Linked DNA regions of Pelodiscus sinensis. The protein of the gene in region 1 interacts with the protein of each later gene in a biochemical or structural test. Links are inferred from orthologs where the notes say so. Each region holds a gene or a part of one and is shown on either strand. Other genes may lie near its edges.

Evidence for each region. The genes of interacting proteins can lie anywhere in the genome.
Region 2: the proteins of MAP3K11 (region 1) and MAPK8IP1 form a complex in vitro, tested with the Homo sapiens proteins (2 studies listed by BioGRID). The link is inferred for Pelodiscus sinensis from reciprocal best matches to the Homo sapiens genes MAP3K11 and MAPK8IP1.

What each region holds. Positions count from the first base shown.
Region 1 is NC_134721.1:35,926,192-35,933,959, reverse strand, and holds the start of MAP3K11 (mitogen-activated protein kinase kinase kinase 11), read left to right. Parts: upstream 1-4,756; 5' UTR 4,757-5,805; coding exon 5,806-6,496; intron 6,497-7,768. Other genes in the region: PCNX3 (pecanex-like protein 3), read right to left, coding at 712-864. UniProt on the Homo sapiens protein: Activates the JUN N-terminal pathway. Required for serum-stimulated cell proliferation and for mitogen and cytokine activation of MAPK14 (p38), MAPK3 (ERK) and MAPK8 (JNK1) through phosphorylation and activation of MAP2K4/MKK4 and MAP2K7/MKK7.
Region 2 is NC_134714.1:83,261,691-83,268,842, forward strand, and holds the start of MAPK8IP1 (C-Jun-amino-terminal kinase-interacting protein 1), read left to right. Parts: upstream 1-4,147; 5' UTR 4,148-4,840; coding exon of another isoform or gene 4,841-4,853; coding exon 4,854-4,939; intron 4,940-7,152. UniProt on the Homo sapiens protein: The JNK-interacting protein (JIP) group of scaffold proteins selectively mediates JNK signaling by aggregating specific components of the MAPK cascade to form a functional JNK signaling module. Required for JNK activation in response to excitotoxic stress.

The DNA of each region.
Region 1 (7,768 bases):
GCTAGGTGCTACTCTGACCCCTCTCTCCAGCCATGGCCAGAGCCACCACCACTGCACAGATTCCCCAACTCCAATTGAGGGTTGCAAGGAGCCACACAGACACAGTGATCAGAATAGCCACAACATCAACAGGCAAAGGCAGGGTCTGTCTCCTCTTTATACAGATGAGGAAAGTGAGATACTTAGAATGGATGGGACTCGACTTGAGGCAGGCAAGAGGGCTGAACAGAAGTATACTGCTCCCCACACACAAGCCCACCATCCTTCTCTGAATCTCAACATGCCCATCTTCCACTCTGCTAAAGGCTCAGCCAGCAATAACATGGGACATCTTGCCTAGAGTCCCCCAGCAGCTTCCAATTTCTGTGCCATGCTCAGTGGCAAGGGGAGCTTGCCTCCAGGTGAAAGTCAGCTTTGGGGATCAGGTCCTAAAGTTACAGTTACAGGTCAGTGCAAAGCAGGGGTAAAAGAGACTCAAGTTCTACCCCCAGCTCTGCCATGACCTGTGGGGTGATCTTGGGCCACTTACTTCATGATCAGTACCTCAACTTCCTCTCCCATCCTTTGGCTTTTACACTGGGAAAGGACCCCAGGTTGGGGCATTAATGCCAGGACCCCACATCCCAGGTTACCAAAAGTGACATGCATGACTGGCTGTAGGGTCAGGAGCCTAACTTCCAATCTGCAGTGAGGGGCCTGAGGTTGACTCACCATGTAGAGCAGGAAAGGGAAGGTGAGCAGGAAGATCCAGGTATAGAGGTGGAAGCAGTTGGAGAAAGTGCTCTGGTGCGGATCAAAGAACCAGCCGCCTGTCAGCGAGGCCCAGACGCCCTGGCGCAGGATTTGCAGCACCTGCGAGCCCATGGCCACGGTGGTGCCTCTTCTTCCTCCCCCTCCGCCCGTTCCTCCTGCTCAGGGAACGTGACTGCCAAGCTTGCACCTGCAATATCCTTCATCAAGGCAACTAAAAGCCCATGATCTGCAGCCTGGGACCCCAAAATCCTACCTCACTCCTCTCTTAGTTAAACCAGGCTGCCCTCCTTCAGCAGGTATGGGCACCTCACACACCTACCCCTGAGAACCTCAGCTACTGCTGTGGAGTCTCACTAGCCATCCAACGTGCCCTTTTGCCTCCACAGCAAAAAGCTTCCCCCCTCCCTCCACATTCACCCTTTTCTTGCTCATGCCATTATGACTGCTGGAGGGAGGGGGGTTATCTCCACTGTCCAAGGAAATTTAAATTAAACTGTGGAGGAGGTAAAGAAGGAGGTAGGGTGGCAGGGAACTAACTCTCTAGTGGTGGGGATTGCAAGCTCAAGCAGAGATAGGACCAACTGGAGACACAGGAGAGGGACACCCTGGGGAACAGGCTGGCAGCCCCCGTCTTGTCACTGAACAGCAGCCCAGGATAGGGGGCCTCAGTAGGGTGAATGGGGCAGGAAAGGGTGTGGGCAACACGGTGTCAAGGTGGGACCCCCCAGTAGGAGGCTACCAGTATGATGGGAGGAGACCGGAATGGGGCAGCACAGCCCTGTAGAGAGGGCAGCGGGGGGCAGGGAAAAAGGGCGGGCGGGGGTGAGTGGGGACCCAGGTAGGATGGTTGGCGGGCAGGGGAACCCACGCAAGCAGGGGCCGAGGTAGGAGCAAGGGTGGGGAACCCGGGTGACGGGCCCGGGCAGTCGGGAGACCCGAGGGTGGGAGGGTCGGAGCAAGCCCGAGCGGCTCCCACCAGCGTCCCAGAAATGCTAAAGGGCCCCCCCCCAAAAAAAATCTTGTTCACTTCCGGGGTCAGAGGTCAGTCCGGGAACCCTTCGAGCGCAGAGGGAACCCAGCAGCGGCACCTCAACTGGAAACTGGGGAGGCCGGAAGAGGAGCCCAGGGAGCAAAAGGAACAGCAAGAGCAGCACGCATGCGCCGATCACCCCTTAACACACAGCCAGGAAGCGGAAGTGAAAGTGCGTGGGTCAACTCAGAAACGGCTGACGGCTGAAGCAGCACTGCGCATGTACTAAATTGTGTCCTCTATACGCATGTGCACTGCTCCACACTCCCCTGGGCGCATGAGCAGACTTTGCGGAACTTCTTTCACGCATGCGCAACAGGTTTTAGTCACGCCATTCCTCCTCTTCCAGTTGCGTTCTTCGCGCACAAAAGTTAAAGCGTTCTAAAAAGGTCCTTGGGGGGGTAGATACAGGATGGTGAATTGCGCGTGCGCAAATCCAGGCGTTCGCTCGCGCGCTCTAACGGAAGTATAATCTTAATTCCTAATGGACTGTGCTGTTTGATTGACATTTTACTCCTCCAGTGAGAATTGAGGAAGGCTTAAAGGGGTGTATTGGGGGCGTGACTCTTCCGTATCCTAACCAAATAGAATAGCGAGGAGTCATGTTGCACTAACAGATTTATTGAGTCGTGAGCGCTCTGTAAAAGCCACTTCCTCCCGTCAGCTGGAGTGGGGGTTGCAGAGTGCGGAGATACGCACGACAGCGGGTGTAGGAGCGGTGTTGCTGAGGCTAATTAGGCTGGGGGGGGGAGTGTTTCCTTCCCAGAATTTGATGCGACTATCCAAAGGGGGAAATTACCTTTGTGTAGCCAGTTAAGAGCTTTATTCGAGCCTAAGCTGGTAGCGTTGGATTTGTAAGTGAACTACAAGCTTTCCAGGAGCATTTCACAGGCGGCCGTTCTTCACACCTGCTTCATCTGATCCTAGGCAGGGCATGGGGCTCTGGCAGGCACTGGATGCTCTAGATAGGGCCTCAACTATGGGGGTTCTTTGCCCCAGCAGAGGCTCTCAGTAGAACTAGCAACTCCTCCCAACTCCTAGGCATCATCCAAAAAGCCAACCATATCACTATTAGCCAGCTGCTATAGTAGGCTAGTATTCCATACAGGGCTCCTCTTGGGTATTGATGGTTGAAAACTGAGTCAGACTGAGTGGGCTTAGGAATAAGTAAGGTGCATACCACTCATCCTCTCCCCCTTGCTGAGGGGAAGTAAATGGAGAGATGCCCAAGGATCAGGCCCTAATAGGAAGTAATGAAGATTGATGGTTAATTATTATTTATTACTAGAAGACTTACCTGGCACTGCTCGGGTCCTTTGGGGCTGGGTGTATGGGGGAGGGGGTGCAAGAGTCAAGGCAGGGTCTGGGGGATATGAGGGGCTCAGTATAGAAGGCTGAAGGTGTAGGAGTCAGGCTTGTGGGTGAGGAGAGGCTCAGGGAAGGGAGCTGGTGATGTGGGGGTGCAGGAATCAGGATTGGGGGTGACAAGGGGCTCATGGTAGTCAGTGCAGGAGTCAGAGCAGAGGGTTGGAGGTGGGGAGGGCAGCTGCAGATTTCTCCCCTGAGGCAGTGGGGACCATGCAGCTTGCCCACCAGCTTTTCCATAGGGCTGGGGTGGCAGGGGCCGTGCTGCTAGTCAGCAGCTGCTCTCTGGGGCTGGGGTGCTTGCTGCTTCCCTGAAATCATTAATGAGAATAACTGTCCCTGCTATCACACCCCTCCCTTTCCAGGTGATGAGAAACAATTGTATTCGACACAAACCCCATTGTCCTGGCCCAACCAAACCCTGACCTTGCTTTAAATTATAAGAGGAAGCTGCATACCAAATTTGGTGGTCCTAGCTCTTACCATTTAGGAGTTCTTGAACAAACTAACTCACGGATGGAAGGACATGCAGACAGAAAGATGCACATCCGCTCTCAAATATATAGTCAACATGAATATGAATTGCTGTAGCTTTCTCTACTATAAAGTGCTACCCGACCATTTGCTTGCTGTTTTTTTCCACAAAGTGAGTAACACTCCTTGTCCCAGAGAGCACACTGTCTAAATAGTGGGAGGGAGAGGACTTAGCCAGGGTCCCACAGTAGGGCAATGGCAGAACCAAAAGTAGAACCCAGGAGTCCTGAGTCCCAGTCAAGCGCTATCACTATGGGGGTCCATACAGTGTGCAGTAAAATAGAGACTCCCCTCTTAGTTAAGGTCTATGCAGTGTCTAGCATGACATGGTCCTGATCTCTGTCAGGATCTGCACAGTGCTATTCTAATTCACACACTAATAGTCTGAGACAGTCCAGGCCCCAGGAAGCTTAGCATGGCCCAGCAGTCAGGAAACCAAGAATAGTTCCCCAAATCCCCCAGAAAATGCCATTCCCAAGGGAACTCAGCTGAATTTAGTATGCATGGATTTATGAATGTGGTAGTGAACTGTGCACCCTGCCACTTCCTAGGCAGGCACTGCCACTGAGGAAGCTTACTGCATGGAAACCATTGTTGGCTACTGCTATGAGGAAGCTCACAACTCCACAGTTACAAGCACGGGAGAGGGGGAACCCACAGTGACAGAGTCCCTGCCTGGGCACTGCCATGGGAGCTCAGCTGACAAAGCTGCAGTTCCTGGCTGGGCACCTTGACAGGGGGACTCACTGCAGCCACAGAAAAGTAAATTCTGGACGACTCATGAATGAGCACAGAGTCAGGAACAAGAAGGTGCCCAGGAGCCCAGGCCTTCTGTCTCCCAGCCCCCTCCCTGTTTTAACCACCAGACCCATTTCCTCCTAGAGCTGGGGCTAGAGCCTAATGTGCTGATTCGCAGCTCCGCCAACCCTGCCGCTCCCAGAGCGGAGAACCCAGGCGTTCTGGCTCCCAACCCCTCCCCCAGTCTAATCCGACTCCTGAACTGTGTCTCCACTCTTGTTCCTTTTCCTTTGTCCCGGTAACAATGTGACCCGCTCCGCCTTCCTGGTTCCAGACTCCACCCTAGTGCCCTGTGGGGGCGGGGAGACGGGCCGGGCCAGGCCAGCGGGCGCTGCGCTGGGGGATCCGGAGCACACCCCATGAGAGGCGGGGAGAAGAGGCCACCTCTAGCTGCCGTCGCAAACTCTCGATCTTTGAGCCCCCAACCCACCGGCTCTCTGTGGGGTCGGAGCCGCCCAGTGACCGAGAGGCAGAGGCATTTCCCACGTCCGGACCGGCCGGGACCCTGCCGAAGAGACGGACCCAGGAGCGGCGGCTTCTAGCCGCGGAACTTCTTCAACAAGCCGAGGCGTTTCCTCCCCGCTGTGCTCCGGCTTGGGACGGAGCTAGGGCCAGGCCAGCTGGAGGGAGCGAAGTGTGGGCACGGCTAGGCGGGGGGAAGCCGTAGCTAGATCGGAGTAGAGGATCCCGCAGGCAGAGGGGCACTTCTCTGTCCCGGTGGGGAGCAGGCGGTAGGGGGAAAGCCTAGCCTCTGTGGGGGGAGTAAACGGTAGGGGGTGTCCCTGTCTTCTGTGGGGAGTAGGGAGCGATCCTAACCCCGTGGGAGGAGGCGATTCTAGCCCCTGTGGGGGAAGTAGGCGGTAGGGGGTGGCCCTGTCCTCTGTGGGGAAGTAGGGGGTAAACCTGGTCCCTGTAGGGGGAAGCAGGCTGTAGGGAACGATCCTAGCCCCTGTGGGGGGAGCAGGTGGTAGTCTGACCCTGGCCCCTGTGTGTGGGGAGGGAAATAGGCGAGAATAAGTCTGTGCCCTGAGTGGGGGGACTAGACTGCGGGGGATGGTTGTGGCCCCTGGCAGTGGGAGTAGAGTGTAACTGTCCCAGCAAGGGGGGGATTAGGCTGTAGAGGAGGATCCTGATTCCCAGATGGGAGGGGACTCCTGTAGGTGGGCAGGTTTCCCTGTCCCATAATCATCTTGATCTGGGGAGACCCCTGCGAGCCAGGACCCTCAGCCTGGTCTTACAGCACCCTTCTAGGAAGATGCCTGTGTTGTGAAGGGCCCCAGCTGGGCAGGGGCTCACTAGAAGCCTCCACCAGCCTACGACCCAGCATGGAGCCACTGAAGAACCTGCTGCGGAAGGGTGCCTGGGGGCCCGAGCGGAGTGGCGGAGCAGCCTACGCCAACCCAGTGTGGACAGCACTCTTTGACTATGAGGCAGCGGGCAGTGACGAGCTCAGCCTGCGCCAGGGGGACCGCGTGGAGGTGCTGTCATGGGATGCCACCGTGTCCGGTGATGAAGGTTGGTGGGCAGGCCGGGTACGGAGCCAAGTGGGCATCTTCCCCTCCAGCTACGTCTCCCTGCAGCCCGTCGGCTATGGCGACGGTCCAGTTCACGCTGACTTCCGGGAGCTGCGGCTGGAGGAGGTGATTGGGGTGGGGGGCTTCGGCAAGGTGTACCGTGGTACCTGGAAGGGTGAGCTGGTGGCTGTGAAGGCAGCACGCCAGGATCCAGATGAAGACATCAGTGCGACAGCAGAGAGCGTACGCCAGGAGGCCCGTCTCTTTGCCATGCTGCGCCACCCCAACATCATCGCCCTCAAGGCCGTCTGCCTGCAGGAGCCCAACCTGTGCCTGGTGATGGAGTACGCAGCCGGGGGCCCACTCAGTCGTGCGCTGGCCGGGCGCAGGATACCCCCCCATGTGCTGGTGGATTGGGCGGTGCAGATCGCCAGAGGCATGCAGTACCTGCACTGTGGGGCCATCGTACCTGTCATCCATCGTGACCTCAAGTCCAACAACAGTGAGTGTCACTCTGCAGTCATGGTGCCCCACAGGACCCACTGGCTCCTCAAACCCACCTTACAGCCCCCACCCCACGGGATTTCCCAGATCTATTAGAGTCCCTCATACACAACCTGCAGCCCCCATCCCATGGAATCCCCAGATCCACAAGTGTCCCTCAAACCCAACCTGCAGCCCCCACCTCATGGGATCCCCCCCACTCTATGGGTGTCCCTCCGTCCCGACTTGCAACCCGCCCATGAGATCCCCCCAGCAATATGGGTGTCTCTCAGTCACGACCTGCAGCCACCCCCTGAAGATCCCCCATCTCCATTGGTGTCCTCAATCCTGATTTGTAGTCCGTGGTAGATTAGCTACTCCAGCCAATTGGGCTGCCCCCTAGAAAAATGAGTGCCCCATGCTCCCTGCAGGAGTGCTGAGGGTACTGCAGGCAGGAGGGGAGGGGAGGGGTCCCCAAACTCCTAATATACCTCTGCCTGCAGCCCTCCAAAGAATCCCCCAAGTCCGCTGGTGTCCCTCTGTCCTGACCTACAGAACCCTGCTATCCCAGCCCTGCCCCACTAGGCTCCTCCCTGCACCTCTCTCGCAACTCAGCTGGTGCATCTGGGTTCTGACCTCACTGACCCTGGGCTGCAGGAAGTGATGACAATTGTGGGGCCTTTGAAAAATGTGATTTTGGCATGTATGTAAAATGCAGGGGACAGGGAATGCGATACTGGGCCTTGGCCCTCCAAAGGCCACTAGTTCTGATCTAGCACCAGGGTTGGGGACTTGCTGACTATGGGGGTTCTGTTAGATCAAATGAGGTACCAGGAGCATCAGGCTATGTCTACACAGCAACCAAAGTCCCACTGCATGGCTGGCCTGGCTCATCTGACTTGGGCTTGCAGGGCTAAAAATTGCAGGGCAGGCATGGGGGTTCAGGCTGGGCCTGCAGGGCTCAGAGACTGGATATCCACTTGAGTCTTGAATGTTTACACTGCAATTTTATAGCCCCCCCAGTTCAAGCCCCATCAGCCTGGTCAGCAGAACCAGGCTTAGACTTGTGCGGTGGGTTTGTCTTCGCAATGCAGACATACCCTTAGAGCAGGGCTACTCAACTTTAGAAGCCCCAGGGGCCACAATGATACTCACAGCACATGCCAAGGGCCACAAATTAAGTGTGGTTGCATAGTCATGCAAAAATATATGCAAATATATGCAAATAGCTTCATTCACACTGACAGGCATGAATATAAAGATTAAGGCAAGACTACACAACACACAGGCT
Region 2 (7,152 bases), on another chromosome or scaffold:
TATTCCAGATATTTCCTCATCCCTAAAGCAAAAGGGGGCCTTCGCCCCATTCTAGATCTCACGGATCTAAACCCGTTCATATGGAAAACTAAGTTCAGAATGGTCACCCTAGCCTCCATCATCCCCTCCCTCCAGAAAGGAGATTGGTACGCTGCCCTCGACTTAAAAGATGCTTACTTCCATATTACAGTGATCCTTGCCCACAGGAGATTCTTCAGATTCGTAGTGGGTGACGAGCACTTCCAGTTCACAGTCCTACCTTTCGGCCTCACCACGGTGCTGAGTGTATTCACCAAATGTATGGCACCAGTGGCAGCCTTTATGAGGCACCAAGGCATACATGTTTTTCCTTACCTGGACGATTGGCTAATACGGGGGTCGTCTCGAACAAGTGATGAGGCACATCTCAAACACCAGATGACTGTTTCTCCAACTCGGCCTCATAATAAACGAGGAAAAGTCCACCATAATCCCCTCACAAGTAATAGAATTTGTAGGCGCCTGTCTGGACTCCACAACAGAGACAGCATCTCTGCCCAGACACAGATTTCAGACTATGTGATCAGTGATTGTGGGCCTTCAGAGGTCCCCCATATCCACGGCCTGCAATTGTATGTGACTGCTGGGTCACATGGCAGCCTGTACGTACATCATGATGCATGCCAGACTCAGACTGCATCCACTGCAGGGGTGGCTAAGCACTGTCCACAACCCAGTGCGACAGCCTCTGGACATGGTGGTTATTGTCCCAAAATCAGTACTATGCTCGCTAGACTGGTGGACACAGGAGGAAGTAGTATGTGCAGGGGTCCCTTTCAACAAGCAAGCCCCATCTGTGCAGTTAGTGATGGATGCATCAGATGTCAGGTGGGGAGCCCACTTGGGAACCCTAAGGACACAAGGACTATCGTTACTGAAGGAGAATTCTGTGCACATAAATGTCAAAGAGCTCAGGGTGGTCAGGTTAGCATGTCACGGATTCCTGCCCCATCTAGAGAACAAGGTGGTGGAGGTGTTAACTGACAACACGTCAGCCATGTACTACATCAACAGACGGGGGGGTGCTCATTCCTCTCCCCTGTGCAGGGAAGCTCTCAAACTCTGGGAATTGTGCATATCCAGGAACATCTACTTGCATGTAACCTACCTTCCCGGGTCCAGCAACAATCTGGCAGACAGACTCAGCCGTTCCTTTCAAGTCCACGAGTGGATGCTCACGAGAGATAGTTTAGAGAAGGTTTTCCAGAGGTGGGGCTATCCCTTTCTGGACCTGTTTGCCTCCAAGACCAGTACCCAGTGCCGGAAATACTTTTCTTTCATGAGACAGGGAATCAGGCCCTTAGGGGACGCTCTACGTATACAATGACCCACTCAGCTATTGTATGCATTCCCTCTGTTCCCACTAATACAGGACACTCTAGTCAGGGTCAGGCGTTTCAGGGCAAGGGTCATCATGATATTGCCAAGGTGGCCTGACAACACTAGTTCTCCACCCTGAGAGAATTGTCAATAGAGGACCTGGTTCGACTACCCCTAATCTCAGATCTAATCACACAAGATCTGGGGCAGGGGACACTATGCCATCTGAACTTGACGGCCCTCCACCTTAGAGCTTGGAACCTGAGTGGCTTTCTAACCTAGAACCAAGGTACTCACAAGAGGTCCAAAGGGAGAGTAGAAAGCCATCTACCGGAGCCCTTTATGAAGCCAAGTGGAAGAGATTCGCGTTGTGGACACAACAAAGGGGCATTGACTCAATCAGGGCCAATATTCCTCTAATATTAGACTATCTACTATAGCTCAGACACCAGGGCGTCCACCAAGGGAGGGTGGAAGGTCAGTGTTCGCTAACAGCATGGTGAAAAGATTCATGAAAGGAATCAATAGACTATTACCATATATACGTCCCCCTATTCCTCCATGGGACCTTAAGGTAGTCCTTAAGGGACTCATGCGGCCACCATTTGAACCATTAGCCACCTGTTCTTTAAAACATCTGTCATGGAAGGTGGCATTCTTGGTAGCAATTATCTTGGCCAGGAGGGTATCAGAGCTACAGTCTCTTACCTCAGAGCCCCTTACACAGTCTTTTTAAAGTTAAGTTCAGACTACGAACTCACCCGGCCTTTCTCCCTAAAGTGGTATCTTATATCCATATATCCCAGGACATTTACCTGTGTTCTTCCCTAAGCCACACAAGACGACCAGAGAGCAGGCTTTGCATTGCCAGGATGTGAGGAGAGCCATTGCATTCTATATAGACAGGACAAAGGAATTCCGTAAGTCATCACAACTCTTCATTTCCATCACAGAAAGAATGAGGGGAGTTCCAGTTTCAGCTCAGTGCTTATCCTCCTCGATCACCTCATGCATTCATGAATGTTACCATGGAGTGGTAAGACACCTCCCCCACTGAGAGCACATTCCACACGAGCTCGCAGGCGACATCCGTGGCATTTCTGGCACAAGTGCCTATCCTGGACATCTGTAGGGTGGCCACGTGGTCCTCCGTACATACCTTCTCAGAACACTATGCCATTACACAATAGGCCAGAGCAGATGCAGCTGTGGGAAGGGCTGCAATCTGTAGAAAGATATCATTACTCTCCGACCCCACGGCCGGGGACACGACTTGGGAATTACCTGATTGGAATAGACATGAGCAAGCACTCAAAAAAGAAGAGGTTACTTACCTTGTAACTGTAGTTCTTCGAGATGTGTTGCTCATGTCCATTGCAAATCCCACCCACCTCCCCTTCGTCAGAGGACTTTGGCAAGAAGGAACTGAGGGGGTGGAGGGGCCAGCAGGGACATATGTGTGCGGATATGTACCTGGCTGGCCCTATGGATACTGCTAAGGGAAAAAAGCTCCGGGATCCGTGCACATGGCGCACGCACACCTAATTGGAATGGATGTGAACAACACATCTCAAAGAACTACAGTTACGAGGTAAGTAACCTCTTCTTTACCACAGTCGAAAAAACCGCTGTGTTCTTTCGATTTAATTTCAAAAGAACATGGTGGCAGTCTAGACTCGGGAAGTTTTTTCGAAAAAAGGCCACCTTTTTCGAAAAAATCCTGTAGTCTAGACACACCCTCACTGAGGGAGGCTGCTCCAGGCTGCCTAGCCCAGCACATACACAGTGGCTCAGGCTGTCTTGTAATCTGAGCCTAGGTGGGAGATGCAATCAGGTAACATCTTTTGTTGAGAGGGGGCGGGAGCTGGACAAAGAGGGAGGCGGGGCTGCCTGCAGGGCTGGGACTGGTTGCTGGGTTTGTGAGTTAATATCAGCTGGCTTAGGAATCAGGATGGAGGGCATCTAGCTGGCTTGGGAGGCTCTGGGCCCCTCTATTGCCAAAATGGATTGTACTGACTGCTCCCAATTCCTGTGTACCCTGTGAACCAATAAACCTTTTGTTCTGCCTGCTGGCTGAGAGTCACATCTGGCTGCAGATGGGGGTTCAGGGCCGGATGGCTCCCCACGCTCCATAAGAGGCTTCATGTATGTTATTTCCTTAAGCAGTGCTACTAAAGTTATGAAAATGATTTAAATGCCATCTCAGCATGGACTCAATATGGCGTTTTTTCTAGACCTGGTGGTATGGTTAAAGGAGGGGAGGAGTAGAAATAGTTTAAAGAGCAAGGAGTAGAAATAGTAGGTTAGTGGACCCTGCCATGAATAGAAATGGTTCCACCTCTTTCTTTCAATGAAAATTGTTTGAAATCTGGCTTTAAACCTCCCCCTGCTGTGACCATAATGCAAACAGTTCCTGAGTAGCAGTAATTCAACCATCTCTAGGGACAGGCATGCTTCAGGAGGGCAAACTCTGCTTTCATCAATGTCTGAAAAATAGGATCTACCATCCCCGTTTGGGTCAGGGTGCTGATGAGGCATGGAGGGGGAGGGGACAGGCAAGCCTGGAAAATTAAAATACCTGTTGATTTTATTATCTTGCCCTTTCCAGGCCCCTTGGAGGCTACTGCCTAGCAGCTTTGGCTGCAGCCTACCCCCTCTGCTGGCTCTAACCCCGGCTGCATTTGCAGGGCCCCCGCAGTTGCTTGGCTGTAAGTAGTGGGTTGAGGGAGGGGGGTCTGGTGCCTGCAGTCCTAACGGCTGTGCTGAGACATTGGGTGGGGAGGAGTGGGGTGCTACCCTGGAGGTCTCCAAGATGGGAAGGGAGTGTTCGGTTTTGTAGGAGAGGGTCATTGGTTCCTTTTCCCCCTCCTACTCCTTGGATCTTCAAGAGGTCAGGGACTGCACCTGCTTTTATGTAAGGACCCATCCACTCCTCTCACTAGGAGCCTTTCACAGAGAGTAGTAGGACGCTTCATCACCTGTCAGCCTTCTTCCTCAGCCGCTGCCACCCTCATCCTCACCCACTGCCAGCCCCACACATCCCTCTCCCTGCGAGATCCCGTTTCCCAGCCCAATCCCCTCCCCCCTCGTCCTCCGCTCCTCCCTTTCCCTCCCCTCCTCTCCTTAGCCTTCGCCAGCCCATCCCCTCTCTCCTGCTCCTGCCTTCCCCCCGCTCCCTCCCTGCCGCCTGTCCCGGGCGCTCCTCGAGGAGCAGGACGCGCCCAGCCGCTGCTTCCTCCTCCCGCGTGGGGCTCCTGGGCACCGTCGACCTGCTGCAGCTCGCCCGGCGGGAGGGGGAGCCAGGCTGCGGCAGTCCCCTGGGGGCTCCTCTCGGGCAGTTCGGCCTCCGGGGGCTTCGGCTTTGAGCGGCGCCCTTGGCTGCCAGCCCCCGGGGCCTGCCGCAGGTGAATTCCTGCCTGGCGGCCCCGCTCTGCCCTCCCCTGCCAGCGTCGGCAGCATCCGTCTCCCCTCCCTCCGCCTGATGGAGAGAGAGAATGGCGGAGCGAGAGAAAGGAGCCACGTCCCCGGCCGGATCCTCTCCCTTCCTGGGGCTGCACCTCGCCTCGCCCCCCAATTTCAGGTACCGCAGCCTCCCCGCCCCCGCCCCTCTGTCCCTTTCCTGGGGGGGGTCGCTGCAGATCTTTGGCGCAGCCCCTTCCCCCCCCCATCGATCCCCGTTGTGGGCACAGGCTGCAGGCGCCTCTGCGCCCCCGGCCGCTGGCAGAGGCTGGGAGCTGCGGCGGTGCCCGTTCCCCACCGAGGAGGCTGGGCGAGGGAAGGGGCAAAGGCCGCCCCACCCCCTCCCCCGAGCGGGCATGCACAGGCTGTATTGCCGGGGCGGAACAATGACTGCCTGGGGCAGCCGGGTCCCGTCTCCCTGCCCCACAGCTGGCTCGGGGCAGTGTAACCCCTCCCCTCCCCCGGCCAGAGGGTCAGGCCCCGTCCCTGCTCGGGGCTGCGAAGGAGCCGTGTGCCCTGGAACAGGTGGGGTCTGCGGGGAGCGCTCCTGCTCTCTCGGGCAGCCAGGCGAAGGCTTGCGCCCTGCAGCTCAGTGGGGAGGGCTGGGCTCTGGGCAGCACAGCGGCAATCTGCATGGTAGGCAGTGTTTTTCCTGCTGGCTTTGTGTGTGTGTTGTGAGGGAGGGATGGAAATGCACACACAAGCATCCCCTCTCCAACCCGAAATCTCGCCACAGCATCCTGGAGCACCCCCGACCCTGGAACCCTCCCGTTATATTCCCCTCCTACCTCCCACTCATGCTTCCCCAACACCTCCCACCCAACCATCCACACCTACTTCCAGTCATCTCCTCCCACACTACTTCCAAATCCTATTTCCCATGGAAGCCCCAGAACTGCCCCCATTTTCTCTCCCCCACACACACTTTCTCCAACACAGAAGACTTCACAGCCAAAAAACACACCCCCTTCCCCAAAACAGATTTCCTCCCCAGGAAATACTTCCTTCCTCCTTCTTTCCTCTTTCTTATGTCACCTCAGAGACCAGGACCCCTGTGTATGCTCCTAGGTACAGACCTGAAACAAAACAAACCCAGGAGAGTGTTGCAGATTTAGAACCGATCCTCTCAGAAATACCAAAACCCCCCATCTATTTGGGACATAGAGCCCTTTTAATTTGAAGGCTGTGAAGCTGTTCACAACATGGGCCTAACAGCTCCAGGCAGATGCAGGGATAGGAGCAGAGGGGGACAGCAGAACCTACAGCTGCCTAGCTGAGATAAGGATACAGGTAGGCTTGGGTGGCAGGATGCCTGCCAGTTTGACTTCTGAAGAGCTGAATTAGCAAAGGGGTGCACAGGGGGCAGCACCTGATATTTGGTCTTGCATAGGCCATGCCACTATTTTTCCTGTGATTTGAGGGGCTGATGTAGTTTGTTTTTCTGAAATTCTGAGCAAGTGTCATCTGGTTATCAGATGTGTGTTTCATGAATGGTGGGGCACTAAGCCTAGAACTGAGTCTGAGCTGGGTAGGGAGATGAGACCTGTACTGTATTGTATATACTTATACTGAGAAATGCTGTTATCAGAGGTTAATGTTTCACATGTAATTCTGTGATGTGTCTAGGAGTCTGAGAATTGGGGAAAGGGAATATCTGCCATTATTTTGAGGGGAAGCTGGCATGGTGTTTGGACATTGTAAGGCAGGGTGAGAGCCCTTGTGCATACTGTCATTAGGTTCTAGTGCTTCCTCTGCTAAACAGCTTTATGGGGCTCTGCAAAGAGTAGCCCACTCTCTTCCTTTTAGTTCTAATGCTGCCTATTTGAATTGTCTGAAGCCATTGCATGCAACATGGGGGCGTGTTGCATGCAAATTAAACAATTCAAGCTGCCTCTGGAAGGGTCCACCATGAGGAAGAGTCTCAGCCACAGAGCTGGATAATGTGAGTCTAGCAGCAAAGCTCAGCCTGGTCCCGTGACAGTCTCAGGCTTGCTGTGTGCTGCTGTCCTAGATACAACATTTGTCTCCTGGGCTCTGTCCTCTCAAATGTAAACAGCAACACCCAGGGAAGGAAGAGCATGGTGTCATCTCCTTCTGTTGTCCAGGTCTCCAGAAGTGGAGTCCAAATGCTCAAGAAGCAACTTTTAATAGGAAAGGGAGCTGGGAATAGTAAGACCTTGTATGGGGAGAAATCTCAGGGCTCTGACACAGCGGGGAGAACTCAGAGGTCTCTGAAGTTAGGGAAAATCATTCCAGGAGCCCTGAGTTTGGGATCAGGTTCCTGGGATTCATGGAAACAATTCTGACATCTCTGAACTTGGGGTGAATTTTGAG